4 separate regions of the Mus musculus genome follow, and regions 1, 3 and 4 are each reported to be linked to region 2. The links are microRNA targets in miRTarBase. Many come from high-throughput screens and were not tested one by one. Region 2 holds a microRNA gene; each other region holds the end of a gene's coding sequence.
What was found. The annotated mature microRNA mmu-miR-15a-5p reads UAGCAGCACAUAAUGGUUUGUG and lies in region 2 at 1,658-1,679, opposite strand. An mRNA with a match to its seed (bases 2 to 7 or 8) in the 3' UTR can be bound and repressed. Matches are read on the target gene's strand: a 7mer-m8 pairs with bases 2 to 8, a 7mer-A1 pairs with bases 2 to 7 and ends in A, and an 8mer does both.

Region 1 (4,003 bases), not on the chromosome of region 2:
CTTCTTCCTCCTCCTCCTCTTCCTCTTCTGCTTCCTCCTCTGCCTCTTCTTCCTTCTCTGAGGAGGGTGCTGTTGGTTACAGCTCTGACTCTGAGACCCTAGACCTAGAAGAGGCTGAGGGTGCAGTGGGCTACCAGCCGGAATACTCCAAGTTCTGCCGCATGAGCTATCAGGATCCTTCTCAGCTCTCTTGCCTTCCCTACTTAGAGCATGTGGGCCACAATCATACATACAATATGGCACCCAGTGCCCTTGACTCTGCTGATCTACCACCACCCAGCACCCTCAAGAAAGGTAGCAAGGAAAAGCAGGCTGACTTCCTGGACAAGCAGATGAGCCGAGATGAGCACAGAGCCCGAGCCATGAAGATCCCATTCACCAATGACAAGATCATCAACCTGCCTGTAGAAGAATTCAATGAGCTGCTGTCCAAATACCAGCTGAGCGAGGCCCAGCTCAGCCTCATCCGGGATATCCGGCGCCGGGGCAAAAACAAGATGGCTGCACAGAACTGCCGCAAGCGCAAGTTGGACACCATCCTAAACCTAGAACGTGATGTGGAGGACTTGCAGCGAGATAAGGCCCGATTGCTTCGAGAAAAGGTAGAGTTCCTTCGGTCTCTGCGACAGATGAAGCAGAAGGTCCAAAGCTTATACCAGGAGGTGTTTGGGCGGCTGCGGGATGAGCATGGGAGGCCCTACTCACCCAGTCAGTATGCCCTTCAGTATGCTGGGGATGGCAGTGTCCTCCTCATTCCTCGCACGATGGCTGACCAGCAGGCTCGGCGACAGGAGAGAAAGCCAAAGGACCGGAGGAAGTGAGCCTGGGGAGGCAGGGGGTGGACGCTCACTAAGACCGAAACTGGAGAAGGGCTGGGCCTGGACCTAACATTGGGGACTTAAATGCCTTCTTATCCAATATATCTTCTCAGATGGGATGACTGCGGGTCAGTGCACCGAAGAGGCGGGCGCAGGCGCTGTCTGGCTCAGCTGCCCCCTTGGGGTGGGCAGGGAGGACCAGACTGCTTGGGTGATTGGGGTCCCCAGCCTATTCCCTTTCTCTTGAGGGGAGGGTAGTGTCGGCATGCTGGAAGTAGAGGAGCTGTGTGGAGTGAAGGAGAGAAAGTGTGGGAGATCTCATTGCTGGAAGGAGAAAAGGAAGGAATCCCCCGAAAATCAAAGCAGTCAGAAAAACCAGAGCGACTGTTAAGGGCTTTGGCCAGCTTTCTAGGCAGCGAGTGCAGGTGACAACGGTGGTCTAGGGAGAGTTACTGGTATGGAACACAGACATGGCGGGGCCCCAGAAGGCCTTTGTAACTGTTTCTTCAACTCTTGCATCCCTGAAGGGAAGATGCTCTTGGATGCACCTGTAATATCTTAGTTACTGAATGGGAAGCTGTAGGGGCCGAGGAGGGCAGAGGGTATAGGAAGTGAGAACGAGGCCTGTGTCGCAGCAGCCCAGCATCAAGCATGTCACACACTGCCCTGCCACAGCCACCTCCCTCCCTGGCCATCCCAGAGCCGAGGCTCCCACTGTCCTCAGAGAGCCTGCATGGAAATGCTGTCCTCTTCCACTCTCCTCCTCTTTTTGATACCCACCCTCACTAGCTGCCTCCAGCTCTGGAGTGGGGTGCTATTCTGGCAGTATCTGGAACTTGGCCTACAGCTTCCTCTGCAGGGTCTAAACAGGGAAGGCACGTGTGGAGGAGTGGTCCCAGTGACATCCAGGCACCATTCAGCACAACACTGGGAAGTGATTCTTCCCTCAGGCCCCTCTGCCTACCAACACCTGGGCTCCTCACTGGGGGAAACAAAAGCCTATAAACCCCAGCAACAAAACCTAGTCCTCTTAGACGTTCTTGCGCTTTGATTTTTTTAGGGCGTGTGCCCTGTTACACTTATAGGGCCTAGGATGCTTGTGTTGAGTAAAAAGGAGATGCCCCAATATTCAAAGCTGCTAAATGTTCTCTTTGCCATAAAGACTCCGTGTTAACTGTGTAAACACTTGGGATTTTTCTCCTATGTCCCGAGGTCTGGTCTTGATTTCTTTTTTGGGTTTCTTTCTAGGAAAATGAGAAGTGCATGCAAGGGGCAGGAGATGACCCTCCCCTAGGCTTTCAGCTTCAGGCAGCTTCTTCACAGCCTGTTCAGCCTGGGCTCCTGGAGGACAGCCCTGGGGGAGGCAGTGAGGGGCAGCGCCAAGATAGCCAGGTGGTTGGTTCCAGGACCACAGTGTCTTTTTTTTGTTGTTGGTTTTTTGTTGTTGTTGTTTGTTTGTTTGTTTTTTAACTGCCACTGCCGCCCCCTGACCCCCAATCTTGGTCAGCTCTGGAGTACTGCCTGCCCCAGACGAGCAGGGGTTGGGGGGGAGCACTGATCCTCCTCCCTGGGCAGGGCAGAGGGCTTTCCTAACCGAGCAGTAGGGATAGAAAGCGTGAGCCTGGGAGTGCTTTTTATAAATTATTTTCCTTGTAGATTTTATTTTTAATTTATCTCTGTGACCTGCCAGGGAGAGGAGAGAAAGAAATGCTGTGAGCACATGACAAAATAAAATCAAATAAAATGGATGATTCAGCTTAAGTGCACTTTCTCCCCCCTCTCCCTTCTGAATTCAGATGAGAGTCACGGAAGCTGGGAGACTGGCCATTGTGTGCTTAGGTGGGAAGGCGGGGAGCACTGACAAAAGAACTCTGCAGTGAAGCCCATGCCATCTCTTCCTGCTGGATCAGGGGAGCCTTCTCAGAGGCTTGACTGTCGGTGCTGTGCTGGAGAGGCACAGAGCACTGCTGGACTGCAGTCATGGCCTGGAAATGGGACCTGTTAGCCGTGAAGTGCGCCATGCTACAGATGTCCTGTGTGTTGAGAACTCACACTGCCTGCTTCAACTTAACATCCTCAATTTCTAGGTAGGAAGGGCTGGCCTTTGCCTCTGGGCTGCTGCTTGCAGAAATTAGGCCTTTAAGAGGGCTGGTGCCATTTACCCACTCACCTAAGACAGTAGGGAGAGGTGGTAGCACCTTCCGAATAATCAGGCCTTAGTTTTGACCTACACACCTCTGCAGCAGGACCTTGGGTCTGACATGGGGGGAAGCGCCCTTTGTCTTGGTTCATCAGTCCCTAAACTTCACTCAAAAGATTTTTCTGTCTTACTCTTTAAGAGACTGGTTGTCTAACTTTACCACATGGGTCTCACCAGTGAAGTAGTTTATTTCAATTTCCAGGAAAAGAAACTACCCACTGTGAATAGTGGATACACACCTATAATCCCCCAACCGGGCTGCTGAGGTAGTTGGGTTGCAAGTTTGAGACTATCCAGGTTGTAAAGTGAAAACTGGTTAGGGGATCCACATACAGTTATTATCTGGTGGTTGCCTCTCTACCACTCTTCCCAGCAAGGCAAGGAAACAATTTTTTTTATATATTGTATGGATACCTTGTCTACATGTATGTCTGTGTACCACATTGTGTGCTGGTGCCCACAAAGGCCAGGAAAGGCAATGAATCCCTTAGAAGGGTTATGAGTCACCACGTGGATCGAACACAAATCCTCCACAACAGCAGCAAGTACTAATTTTTTGTTTATTCAAGGCAGAGTTTCTCTGTGTAAGTATGGAACTTGCTGTGTAGGCCAGACTTCGCCTGAACTTAGGTCTTCATGTTTCTGCCTCCCAAGTGCTGAGATTAAAAGCTTGTGCCACTATGACCTAGCTAACAGCAAGTGCTCTTAACCCCCCCAGACATCTTTCCAGTCACAGATGTAGCCCAAGATGACCTCCACCTCTTCTCTTAGTCCCTGAAGTTCTAGGATTCCAGGTGCATGTTACCTGACCAGGTGTGGAAATTCCTCAGCAGAATCCTACATCCTACTGTCAAGAGTAGGCGTGCTCTCCCTGTTATTGATCCCTGTGGTTAAGTGAGTCCCTACATACTGACCTGTCATTTTTGTCAATATGCGGTGATGAGCCAGCACCTTTTAACCACTTTCCTCCCTCACACATTGCACA
Region 2 (4,003 bases):
AAAAAAAAAAAAAAAAAGAACATTTCCTTTGAAATAATTAAAATATTCTGAATATATTTATAAAATTAATGACTGTTAGCTTTAATCTGAAGTTAAATATTAAGGCACAGATGAGATGTCTTTCATACTTTTGACTTATAAAAATCTCCTGTTAAACATTTTAGTGAAAAATAAGAAAAACAGTAATTATTAAGTTAGAAGATATAGGATTTATACCCTAATATGTCATAGGTTGCAAATTAAATTTCAGATTGTTTCCTCAGTTAACCAATAAAAAGGTCAGCTATTCTAAGGATTCTTCTAAATTTAAGTTTAAAAATTCAACGTACACATTTTAGTGTTATTCTCCTTCATTTAAAATGAAATATTTAGGCACATTATACTCAAGATTATGTTATAATCTGTAGCATTTCAAACTTTATCTGTATCTAAAGAAAACTTCAAATCAAGAGAAAAGTATTTTTCTATTATAAGTAATAATATGAGTTTAAATTCATGTACAATTTGGTACTTCCTAAACTCTTTCAAATAAACTTTTATATGGAAATGCTGGAAAGAGAGCTCGAGCCTTGGTGGTACTGGGTATATTCTGTACCACTGTAGCTCTCAAGAAACTCTGGAAAGGTGTTCAAGACTTAAAAATACTTGTTATATTATTAGTCAGTGCTCCATCTGTGGATCCAACCAACCACACATTCAAAACATTTGGGTGGCCAGGCATTGGGGCCTACAGTTTTAAACAAAGAATTTGGGAGGCGGAGGCAAGAGGATCTCAGTGAGTTTCATGGCAGCCTGGTCTACATGGTGAGACCCAGGCTCAAAAGACCAAACCAAAAAACTTATTTCTTGGACAAAAACTGCATTAGTACTGAATTGTACAGTTTTTTTCTCATCATTAAGAGAATAACTTGAATAATACAACTATCCATGTTAACATCCCACTGCACTACACATTAAAAACAATGTAGAGATAAGTTTAAATAAGTATAAGGGAGGATATGCACTGGTCACGAGCAGACATTTTATACAGGAGATCCAAGCATTTACAAATCTGGGTATCTAGAAGTCCTATAATCAGTTCCTCACACAGAAGTCATTATGTTTTGTTTGTTTTTAAAAGACAGATCCTTACATAGGTCTTAGACTTGCTTTATGGCCAAGGATGATGTTAAGCCTCTAATTCTCTTTTTTCCACTTCCTCAGATCTAGGATTACAAGTGTACCTGGTATGCAGTGGTAAGGCTAAAACCCATGGCCTTGTGCATGCTAGCAAGAAGCACTTGGCCAACTGAGCTGCATTACCATCCCACAATTATATAGTATTTTAACAGACACAATATGTAGAGCGTTGTTACTAACATCATTACAGAATCATACCAAACATAAAATCACTAATGCAATTAGAAAAACCGTGTAAACACACAAGTAACATCAATACACATTGAATTACAGTTGTAGAGTATTGCCAACCTTACTTCAGCAGCACAGTCAATACTGGAGGTAATTTCAGAATCTTAACGCCAATATTTACGTGCTGCTAAGGCACCGCTGACATTGCTATCATAGGAGCTATGAATAAAAAGACAGGTACTCTCTTCAGAAGATCAGGTCCTTGTATTTTGAGGCAGCACAGTATGGCCTGCACCTTTTCAACATCCACAAACCATTATGTGCTGCTACTTTACTCCAAGGGTTGGTTTTGAAAACTCCTAGCACCTCAATAGTAATTTACAGAAAAGGCTTTTTAGGAAAAAGTAGAACACATAAAATCTATGTTTGAAAAAAATCTAACACTGGTATGTGCATAATTTTATAGGCTTTCAGCAGAATAAAAAGTATTTCCATATCATAAGTTTAATAAAAGCGTACAGAAAACTTAATACAGTGCTGTAATTTATTGTAGTCATGAAACGAGAAAAGCAAGTCATTTTCCCATACCAACTTAAGAACCTCATTTATTAAACTAACAACTTTTGAATGTGCTTAACACATGAAATAGCTACAAAAGTTGGTTTTTACCTTATTAAGAGCAGCACATCTTTCAAAGCCAAATCCATAGGACAAAGCTTCATGTTAAAGGAAACATGTAAGAACAAACATGTAAGAGCTCAGTTTCAAGAAATTTATACTAGCAAAATATTTAGAAGACATACACATGAAACATATTCCCCAAAAATATATAACCCCCAATCTACACATGAACACAAGATTTATCTCAATATTGGAATAGTTATTGTGAGTTCAGTGTCATTTATTATTACCCAGAACATCATCTTAGGATAACAGGTCTATTTGGTTTCCTAAAAGGATATATCAGAAATCCTGTAGCTCAAGCCTAAGTAACCATTTGTGTGTTTCCCAGTTAAAAAGGCTAGTCCTTTAAAGGAGTATCATTTTATACCACAGGACTTTGACTTAGCTGAAACAAAATTTTTACTACGTTAAGTTCCAACTTCATTTTATGTGTGTGTGAATATCTAGGTTTTCTTACACTATTAAGAAGACTCTTTTCTGTTTAGTGGGGGACTTAGCCATCCCTTCACAAAGAACTGTTCTTATTATTCCAGTTCATACCAGATTTTCCATTCAAACTAGATTACTGTGTAGCAAATGTTTTCTAGTGGGTCAATGCCATTTCTCCATTCCCGTTCATGTTGGGTCATTTGAAATATCAAAACGTCTTTAAATCTTCAAACCTTTGCTTTCAAGTGTGCCAGCTTAAAAAAAAAAAGTCTGAAAATAAAGATAAAAGCTGCTAAAAGTGATTTTGTCCTTTATCTTTATACAATGATTATAATTTCAAATTCAGTGGTTTTTTGAGAGAGGTTTTGAGGACAGTGGCTGCTGTCCTGCAATTCATTCTATAGACCAGGCTGGACTGGAACTCAGAGATCTATCTGCCTGGTTTCCCTCCTGCATGCTAGGATTAAAGGCGTGCACCATCATGCCCCGTTCCAAATTCAGTGGTTTATATTCTGGCCTAAGGACCAAAATAATTTTTCTTTGTTGGGTTTTTACATAGTTCAACTTTTTACTAATGTTCTTAAAAGGAAAAAAAAGCCATTCTGAAAAGAAAACAAAATGTTTTGCTTAAGAAGGTAACTTGAGTGTACATAGGAATACATGGCAATCTTTAAATACCTGAAATTAATATTATTCGTATAAGAAAACAGAATTTTACAACAATTTAAGAAGATAGATCAAACCAAATTGTCCTATTTCCCCCTTCAACTCTATTTGTTTCCATTAATATTTTTCTTTAGAAACATTTACTTTTTACCTTATAAAACTTCTAATATTAATTCATCTTGTTTCCATAAAGCTTAGCACTTCACAAACATTTATAGGCATGTTGCCCAAGCTATATCATCATCTTGACTGCATCAGAATAATGGGATACTTTTTGAATTTAATAATAAGCAACCAGTAATTTGTTGGAGCACAATGACAGAATACAGAATCTGAGGTCCGAACCCTGACACTGTCCTTTGAGTGTCTCCCATGGCTGTTATTCTAGTACACTGACCCTTTCTGGTTCCCTATCTGCAAATGAACCATTAACATACATATAAGCCTTTGTAGGACGCTTCTGAACCATAGCCATCTTATGAAGTTGTCTAAGAACATGGAGAAAACACTACCAGGTTTAAGTTCTGATGACAGAGCAACAATTCTCAGGGCACAAAAAATCTACTTAAATAGCAAAGCTAAAGGCATGAAATACTGCAACAAATTTGGGAAGTTAAAAGCTGGGTATGTTAATATCTTTGATGTGGCAATAATGCCACTATAAAATCTTTGGAACTGTTTCTTCTCTAAACATTTTAAATTCCTAGTTCTAAAATTTGATATGTGAAAAGTGACAGAATCATTTGTAGGGCATACTACTAAATAGTTAAAAATTCCATTTCCATGTGATTTTTTTCTAGGAAAATGAGCTTATGTAACATATTTGAAAAAGAAATTGTTCTAACAACAACAACAACAACAACAACAACAACAA
Region 3 (4,003 bases), not on the chromosome of region 2:
GGGAAGCTGGGCCTTCCCTGGGAGCACTGGCCGAGTAGGACCAGGAAGAGCTGTGAGTGGAAGCCCACCCGGTTCCCATTCAGTCCACCCTAGGGCACGTGGGTCCTATTTTTACCTGAGGATCGGAGAAGTACACTGATGTGTCCACGGTCACACAGTGTGGCAGCAGGGGAATTGTGCCTTGATTCCAAAATCCTGCCTTCCCACTAGTCAGGACCTGCCGCTGGAGTCTTCCATCGCCTGCCTAACCCCCACACGTGTCAGCCCCTCAGAGTTCCAGAGACCCTTTGTGAGGAGACACCCTTCACTGCCACTCTACTCACATGCACACACCGCTGCACCCTCCCCCTCGTACACACGTGCTCTACCCTTACCTCATACGCCCCACCACCACACACACGCACCCCACTATGGGGAGGATGCTATGCAGCCTAGAAGGCCAGAGGAAAGGGTTGTGTGTAGCTAGAGCTTCCGGCAGCCACTCACATCAGCCAGCAGGGCCCCCCACTCAGCCTGTAGGAAGATGGCGCTTGAACTGTGGTACCCGGGAAACATGACCTCAGCAGCCACACTGTGCTGGGCTCCCCGAGTGCTTGCTGTCTTCACCTTGCTCTCTCCCCTCACAGGCAAAGGTGACAGAGGAGTGCTCCCAATACGAGTTTGAGAACTACATGCGACAGCAACTGCTGCTGGCTGAAGAGAAGAGTTCCATCCATGAGGCCCGGGCCTGGGTGCCCAAGCGGCAATTCGGTAGCATGCCACCGGTCCGACGGCTAGGCCACGACGCACAGCCAATGACCTCCTTGGACACAGCCATCCTGGCACAACGCTATCTGCGGAAATAGTGCCCTCAGCTAGGGCACTAGCCCAGCACACCTCTTCTCGGCCCACCTGAGGCCCAGCCATCGGGCCTGCCTGGGCCCGGGCCCAGCAGTGCTGGACTGATTCTCCCAGGCTGCAGTAGGGATAGGGCAGGGATAGGGACAGCCCAGGTCACAGCCAGGGTCAACAGAGGTACCACAGAGCTACCTTTTGGGATGATTGCTTGATTGTTTTTTTATCTGAGAATTCTAGATAGATAGCTAATCTGCTTTTAATCATGACATTTTAATCTACCTCTGTCTCTTTAACCACGCTGTCTCTGGACTGAGTGTCAGGAGGGAAGAGGGGAGTCTACGCTCACAACCCAGGCACTGGACAGCTGCAGCCTGGCTAGGCCACTGACCCCACAGTCCATATAAGCTGACCATGCAGCTCGCTGCTGGCCCCCAGTAAGCACCCCTTCCCACCGTCCACTCCCCGTCCCCGGGGGCCTGCCCTCAGTCTAAGCTTTGGAACACTCTCACCTCACCTGCCGCCCAAGTCAAATCTATTTATTTTTTTACTGAACCCAACTTGTATCTCTAGGTTCAGCCCTTGGCCACTCTGGCCCTGAGCCTGGCTGAATAGCAGGGCCCGTGTGTGTAGGCTCCCTTCTCACCCCAGGCACCTAGGAGCCCTCTTGCCAGTTCCTCTCTCGCTCTGTTTCCAGACCTGTCTCTCTCTCTGTCCTGGCAGCTTCTCTGAGGTGCTGCTCGTTTGCATTAGTCCCGCCTCCTCCATCTTTCATGTGGTACCCAGGTAAATGTGGACATAGTGTGAAGGGACCTGTGGCCACCAGAGGATGCTCTGGGCCTACTGAGGACAGGCCACTTGTGCTCAGAGAACCTCACCTCACCGCAGAAGTGGTGCCTCTTCCAGAAGACTCTGGAAGATTACCTACTTGGGGGTAGGCCTTGGAGGGAAATCTGTAGGGGTGGGGACCTTCCTACCTTCCTGGCTTGAGAACAGCCCTGCTACCCTTTTTGAGCCGAAATTTTGAAGTGGATGCCCGTCTTGCCAGAAACGCTGTTCTCTCCAGAATGCCCCTCCCTGCACTGGACTTGGCACACCCAAAACCAAGCAAAGACCCAACTCCGGAGGCCTACCTCCTGTGTACCCTCAGAGAGGGCAATGTCACCCTCCTGGTAGGTAGTCCTAGACCCCTCCTGCCTCTTGCTCTCCAATGGGGAGACCATGTTTCCTAGAGTGTGAGCTGCCCCTCACCCCCTGAAAAGCTGACTCACTGTGAGTGACCTTGGGCAAGTCCCCAAACCTCCTTGTGCCTCAGTTTCCCCATCTGGAAAAAATGGGGCCACCTCTTGCCAGCAGTAGCAGGGCTGCCCATGCCCCTTCCTCCCCATGCCCCATATCCAGCCCTGGGCTCCTGTGCCTCTGTTTTGCTGGGTCTGTGGAGCCCACTTGAGCCCAGCAGTTAACTCCCCTGGCACTCAGCTCTGCCTCTAGTTCAGCCGCCCAGCCACTGAGAGTCAGGGCATGGTGCTGCGGGGGAGGGCTCTTTTCTATATTTATTTGATAGCGATAAGTCTCCGAAGGGAGTGGAAATGCAGTCAGCCTGGGCCCTTAGCCCATGACTACCCTCCAGTGAGGCTCTGAGGCCTGGCTAGGGCCCTCCTGGGCAGAGCCCCTGCCTAGCCCTTCAGGCCTGATGCCTCAGGCCTGATTCCCTCCTTTTAAAGCAATACCTTCAGGTCTGCCATGCCATCAGCCAGCCTGGTTCCTTCTGAGGGCAACCTGGGTCTGGTGGTATTTCTGGTGGTGCAGATGAGGGGAGGGTGGGGCCCTCGCTGCTGTCAGGCACTGAGAAGTCCTGTTGTAAAGAAAAACAAAAACAAAAAAACAAAAACAAAAACAAAAAAAACAAAATGGAAAAAGTCACAAAAAAGTTTGTATAAAGACGTATTTTTGTACTACATGGGGACTCTTCCTGCATGTCAGCAATAAAACTTCCTGATCTGGAGCCACCATGGTCTGTAGCCTGCCTCTGTGCTTGTCCGTGCGCTCTCTAGCCCTCCCTCCATCCCTGCTCACAGCCTGGGCATCTGCATTTCAGCAAGCAAAGCAGCTAAGCCCTACTGTCTGAAGTGGAAGTAGGAGGGGACCCAGGATGTCATTCCCCCTGTCAGGGCCTAGACAACTCAGGAGCTGGGAAAAGGAGCTGCCCTCCCCTTTTCCTGTGCTGCCCTCCCCTCCTTGGGAAGCCCAGGGGTGCCCGCCTTCCTTCCCACCTCCTTCCCTTGCCTAAGTTTAGACTGTACATTGTATTTCCCAACGAAACCAAGAAACGGAGAGCTTCCTGCTGAAGGGAGAGAGGTAGGCTAGGCCATCCCACAGATGAAGCCCCCCAGAGGTGGGCCTCATTCCCAGGACAGCGCTGCTCTGCCCCTTCCCACAGCCCACACACTCTACCATTCACAGACCCCCTACTCCGTGTGGCCCTGACTGCACTACCATGAAGGGCTCTTTCTCTCAGCCCAGTACTGCCAGCTGCCCTAGACCAGATACAAATAACCTCTGGGGCTGTCTAGGTCTCTCTGTGTCCTCAGCCCGCAGAATTGGTATGGCTCTAGTTTATTTTGGTTTTTGCCTTTAGAGGTTAGACAAAACAGCCCCATTTCCTTAGACGTTAATTTTTTTCCTTCCTTTTAAGACAGGGTTTCTCTGTGTATCCCTGGAGCTGTCCTGGAACTCACTCTGTAGACCAGGCTGGCCTTGAACTCAGAGATCCACCTGCCTCTGCCTCCTGAGTGCTGGGTTTAAAAATCTATATTTAATCCTTTATGCCTATGGCTGTTTTGCCTGCATGGATGCCTCTGTACCAAAGGGTAGAAGAGGGCATCAGGTTTCTGGGTTAAAAGTTAAAACTGAAACCCGGTCCTCAACAGCACCTCTCCAGCCCCTGGCTTACTGATCACTACCGGCGCTACATATCCTTTATGAGATAGCTCATTTGGTTTTGTTTAACTCTATAATAAGCAAGCTGAAGTTTTTCCATCCAAGAGCTCAGACCACCTGATCCCAGCTTTCTGTCCATCTGTCTGTCTTTTCTTCATTCTCTTGCTGCCCAGTCAGGTCTAGGTCTACCCCTGGCGCTGTTTTCTCTCTTCCTCCTCTCCTCTCCCCT
Region 4 (4,003 bases), not on the chromosome of region 2:
CTCCTTCTAGCCAGGGCCCAGTGGCAGGACGCCCTGCCCATATCCAAAGCACACAGTACTGCAGAGGTAGGGTTAGAATTGGAGGACTTGCAGTAACCCTGAATATGCCTTGCCCTCCCAGCTGGTGGGAACTATTTTTCTGCTCACCCCAGCTGAGAGAGTAAGTCTAGCAGCGCAGCACAGGCTCCCTGTGCCTTGCCAGCTCTGCTTACATGCCTTTGAAGCAAAAGAAAAAAAAAAAAAAAGAATACAGACAGGAGCAAAGAGTAACCCAAGAACACCAAGGATCTGAAGTCCCTTCCAGTTTAGGGCCCTATCACAAGACAATACCAAAAACCTGAAAACCTGGCATTATTGTCAGGGGTGTCTGCTGGACTGCCTGTGGGACCCAGGCTCTCATTATCTTGAAGAGGTGTACCCCCTCTCCCAACGGTACAGTTTGAAAAAAATGGGTGTTACTATGTTTTATTAAAATGGGAAAGGCCAACAGAATAATGTAAATTGTGCCAGCATTTTGAAGGAATGTGTAGAAGATGAGGCCTTGAGGAAGAAACTGTGTCACCTTGACCCCCATGATGACCCTGCCACACTCCTGGGTAACAGAGATTTTGGTGCCCTCAAAGTGAGTCCAATTCTCTTCCTTGTGGATCTCCTACATGGCAGGAGCAGTGGCCCAACATCTGTCCGAAAGCGGCCAATGTTGGACTGAAACTACCCTTGGCAGCAGGCAATCCTTGACACTCTCTGAATTTCTCTTCCTGGGAGAAAAAAAACAAACAAAACAGGACAAAACAATTTTCTTTCAAGCCAAGTAAGTTTGGCTTCACGGACTGCCTTAGATCCGGGTACTTCAGCGCTCCCTTCCCCCGAATCCTGCAGATTTTGATCCTTCCCTTTGCGGATTGGAAGTGGGAGAAACAAAAATAGCATTTAGGGGAAGACATTATCTCTTGAAGACCACAAGTCCTTCCACAGAGCCCAACAGAGAACGCTTGCACCATTTATGGGCAGTGGAGAGGGGTGGGGGAGACCTGTTAGATTTCATCCATTGAGATAGTTCAGTGAGCAGAAACATCATGGTTTAATTCATTTCTTCACCCTCAATTCTGAGCTTACATGTTAAGTTTTCAAAGGTTGCTATTTAAAAGAAACAATATTCTCTTGTTTCTTGTTTCAAGGGTAGGTGCAGCACCTGGGTGCTGGGGAGACCATCTCAGCTACAGACATGGACAAAGTCTACCTTCCATCCCAACATTTTATATTAAAGAGTTATTTCTTTTTATTTAATGTAACTTTCAGGAATTTAAACACACAAAAATTCACAGATTGGAATGGTCACAATTTTGATAACCACAGTTTTAAGTAGGGAACATTCACCCATTTCTCATAAGATTATAAATATTTGATACTGTAAAATGCACATTTTATAAACTTAAAAAAGGACAGATTTGCTTCCTGCTAAAAGGCATGTGTTCCACCGACCCCCAAGCAGCAGATGGTTATTCACAGACTCTTAAATTACAACTTCTGTTTTTATAGCTTCCTTTTCAGAAGGTTGGCACGAATATGTACAAAGAGAAAGTGTTGGCGCAGTGAAATAAAGAGGTTTAAGGCAAAGAGAGAAATCCACCATCGGTCCTCAGCAGGCAGCCTGAGAACACGCTGGCCACTGTGCTGGCCCCAGGTGGATGTTTGGACACCTTTTCCCATACACTAAACAGAAGACATTGTGGAGTTACATATAATGTGTTTTTTGTATATATATATATATATATATATATATATATATATATATATATATACTTGGAAGGATATATTGAATATATTTAATTTACACAGTACCACACCTTCAAAAATAAAATGTATATTTTCTTTAAAAAAAAACAAAAAAGACAAAAACATGATAAGAAATGATTATTTACACATGTCCTCTAGATTCGGGAGGATTCGAGTTCCTTTGAAAGTCAAGGTAGCTGTGAGCTCCAGAACCCCAGCTTCACACAGGCCTGGGGTGTGCGTGCACATGCATACACAAGTATGTACACATACATGTATTTACCATTCAAAAATAAATGAAAAAGAAAAAAGAGGGAAGAAAAAGGAAAGGAAGATGATTCCAACTCGCTCTGCCAGGCCCCAAGGCCTATCTCGGTGAGGGCTTTTGGGTCAGGGCTAGCTGTCCCGGCAGCAAAGCCTTCAAGCCTTCAGGACACACTCCCACTGCTCCCCAGGCCCCAACGCTGGCCACGGTGGCGGGAGAGTTGGCGCTGGCAGGTCGCTACGGGGCTGTGGCGGACAGGGGTCATCGACACAGACGCAGACACACGGTGGCTGCCAGCACGGGCCTCTGAGATGGTTGAGAAGAGAGGCTGCGTAGGAAGCAGGCGGAGAGGTTCCGGGAGAGCTGCTGGCCTGCAAGGACTTTCTCAGACCTCAGCAAAGAACTGCGCCCTCTCTCCCCACCAGAGCTCTCCATCACCACTCTGGCTGGCGCTTCCTACAGTGCTGTCCGAGCCAGCACAAAGCAAGCGGCAGAGCCCACAGACCAAATAGGAGCTATTTATTCGGTTCACAGTCCTGTGAAATGCAGCAATAAAAATCTTTGGACTTCAGCAAGTTGTTTTAAATTTTTTTTCTTTCGGGGGAAGAAGTGTCCAATGTCCCATAATGGAATTTAAGGGATTAAAAAAAGGGAGAAAAGAAAAATGAAAGAAAGATCTGAAACCCTAAACAGTCCCCTTTGCAGAAAAATAATAATAACATAAAATTAGCATAACCTCTGAAACACAAAAAAAAAACTCAAAAATATTTTATAGTCAGATTTTTGGATTTTACACCACCTGTAAATTATATGTACATAGATTATTGTAGAACCATAGCTAATACACTGGATTTTCACAGATAATGCTGGTATAATCTTTATACACTGGCCTTTTGTTCACGGTTTTAAAATTATTGCATTGTTTCTCGCGGCCCTAGACCTGGCCGGCCGGCCGGCCCACCCGCCCTGCTCGCCCTACTCGCTGTCCGACTTGCCCTCCTTGGCCGTGGTGGAATGGTTGTACAGGCCCTGTGCCATGAGGTGCACCGCCAAAGTGTTCTTGTTGCCCGTGGCTTTCTTGATTTTGGCCCGCTTGTTCTGGAACCAAATCTTGATCTGAGACTCGTTCAGGCTGAGCTCCTGTGCCAGACTCTGGCGCCGCTGCTCTGTCAGGTACCTGTTGGTCTGAAACTCAGCCTTGAGCCTCTGGAGCTGCTCAGCAGTGAAGGCTGTGCGAGGCCGCTTGTCCTCTTTGTTAGGGTTCTTCTTCTTTGGTTTTCGGGACCTGGGACCTGGTTGTCATGGAGGAGAAAGGGCAGAGGTTACTGGTTGCTGGAGTCTAGCTACTTATCCACAACCCACGCACCCAAGCTTGAGGTTGCAGATACTGGGGGTGGGGGGGGGGGGATGACCCGCCCAAGGCCATACAAGTGTTGGGCATTGGGGGTGGTGATATAAACTTGAGGCTGGGCATGTGCCCACTGACCAGAAGGAAAGTGGTGTGTGTGTGTGAAAATGAGATGGATTGGCAGATGTAGCTAAAAGGCCTATCACAAACTAGGGGATCCCAATAAAAGCTAGCGGAAGGAATGCCCAGCCAAAATCTTTCTGGCCTCGTTTGCATTTGTTTTCTCCCCTTATCTTTTTCCAAGTCTATCCTAGGGAAAGGGTCGAGAGACAGGTGAGAGGAGATGGAGAAGACTGAAGAAAAGAGTAGGCTAGCCAGTCAAGGGGAATCCCGTCCCCCTTCCTATGTAACCCACAACTACAAGGGGATCCCAAGGGCAGTAGAGTTCCCAGGAGGAGCCAAGGCTGAGGCCTGGTGAGGCCAAGTTTGTTTCCTTGAAGGACTCCAATAGGGTACCCCAGGCTTCACTGAGTCTCTGGCATCTCCCCTTCAGTCTTCCTGTCCAGGAGAGGGACCTGGCTCCTATGGGATAGGGGGGGGGGGGCTGACCTTGG

Region 1: the mRNA of Nfe2l1 is a reported target of mmu-miR-15a-5p. Seed matches in the 3' UTR shown: 7mer-A1 at 1,953-1,959.
Region 3: the mRNA of Stk40 is a reported target of mmu-miR-15a-5p. Seed matches in the 3' UTR shown: 7mer-m8 at 1,569-1,575.
Region 4: the mRNA of En2 is a reported target of mmu-miR-15a-5p. Seed matches in the 3' UTR shown: 7mer-m8 at 1,488-1,494.

Annotation. Positions count from the first base shown.
Region 1 is chr11:96,815,994-96,819,996 of GRCm38, reverse strand. It overlaps Nfe2l1 (nuclear factor, erythroid derived 2,-like 1), which reads left to right. Exons shown (of 5, transcript NM_008686.3): 5 at 1-2,583. The coding sequence ends at 821. Among named protein-coding and RNA genes, the nearest start is that of Nfe2l1, 12 kb to the left of the region's middle.
Region 2 is chr14:61,630,418-61,634,420 of GRCm38, forward strand. Mir15a (microRNA 15a) reads right to left here and starts at 1,693; the gene lies at 1,610-1,693. It overlaps Dleu2 (deleted in lymphocytic leukemia, 2), which reads right to left. Exons shown (of 7, transcript NR_028264.1): 4 at 2,020-2,066. It overlaps Mir16-1 (microRNA 16-1), which reads right to left and starts at 1,555; the gene lies at 1,463-1,555.
Region 3 is chr4:126,138,184-126,142,186 of GRCm38, forward strand. Stk40 (serine/threonine kinase 40) reads left to right here. Exons shown (of 11, transcript NM_028800.3): 11 at 627-2,846. The coding sequence ends at 845. Among named protein-coding and RNA genes, the nearest start is that of Eva1b, 7.8 kb to the right of the region's middle.
Region 4 is chr5:28,169,449-28,173,451 of GRCm38, reverse strand. En2 (engrailed 2) reads right to left here. Exons shown (of 2, transcript NM_010134.4): 2 at 1,262-3,333. The coding sequence ends at 3,017. Among named protein-coding and RNA genes, the nearest start is that of Gm52808, 3.6 kb to the left of the region's middle.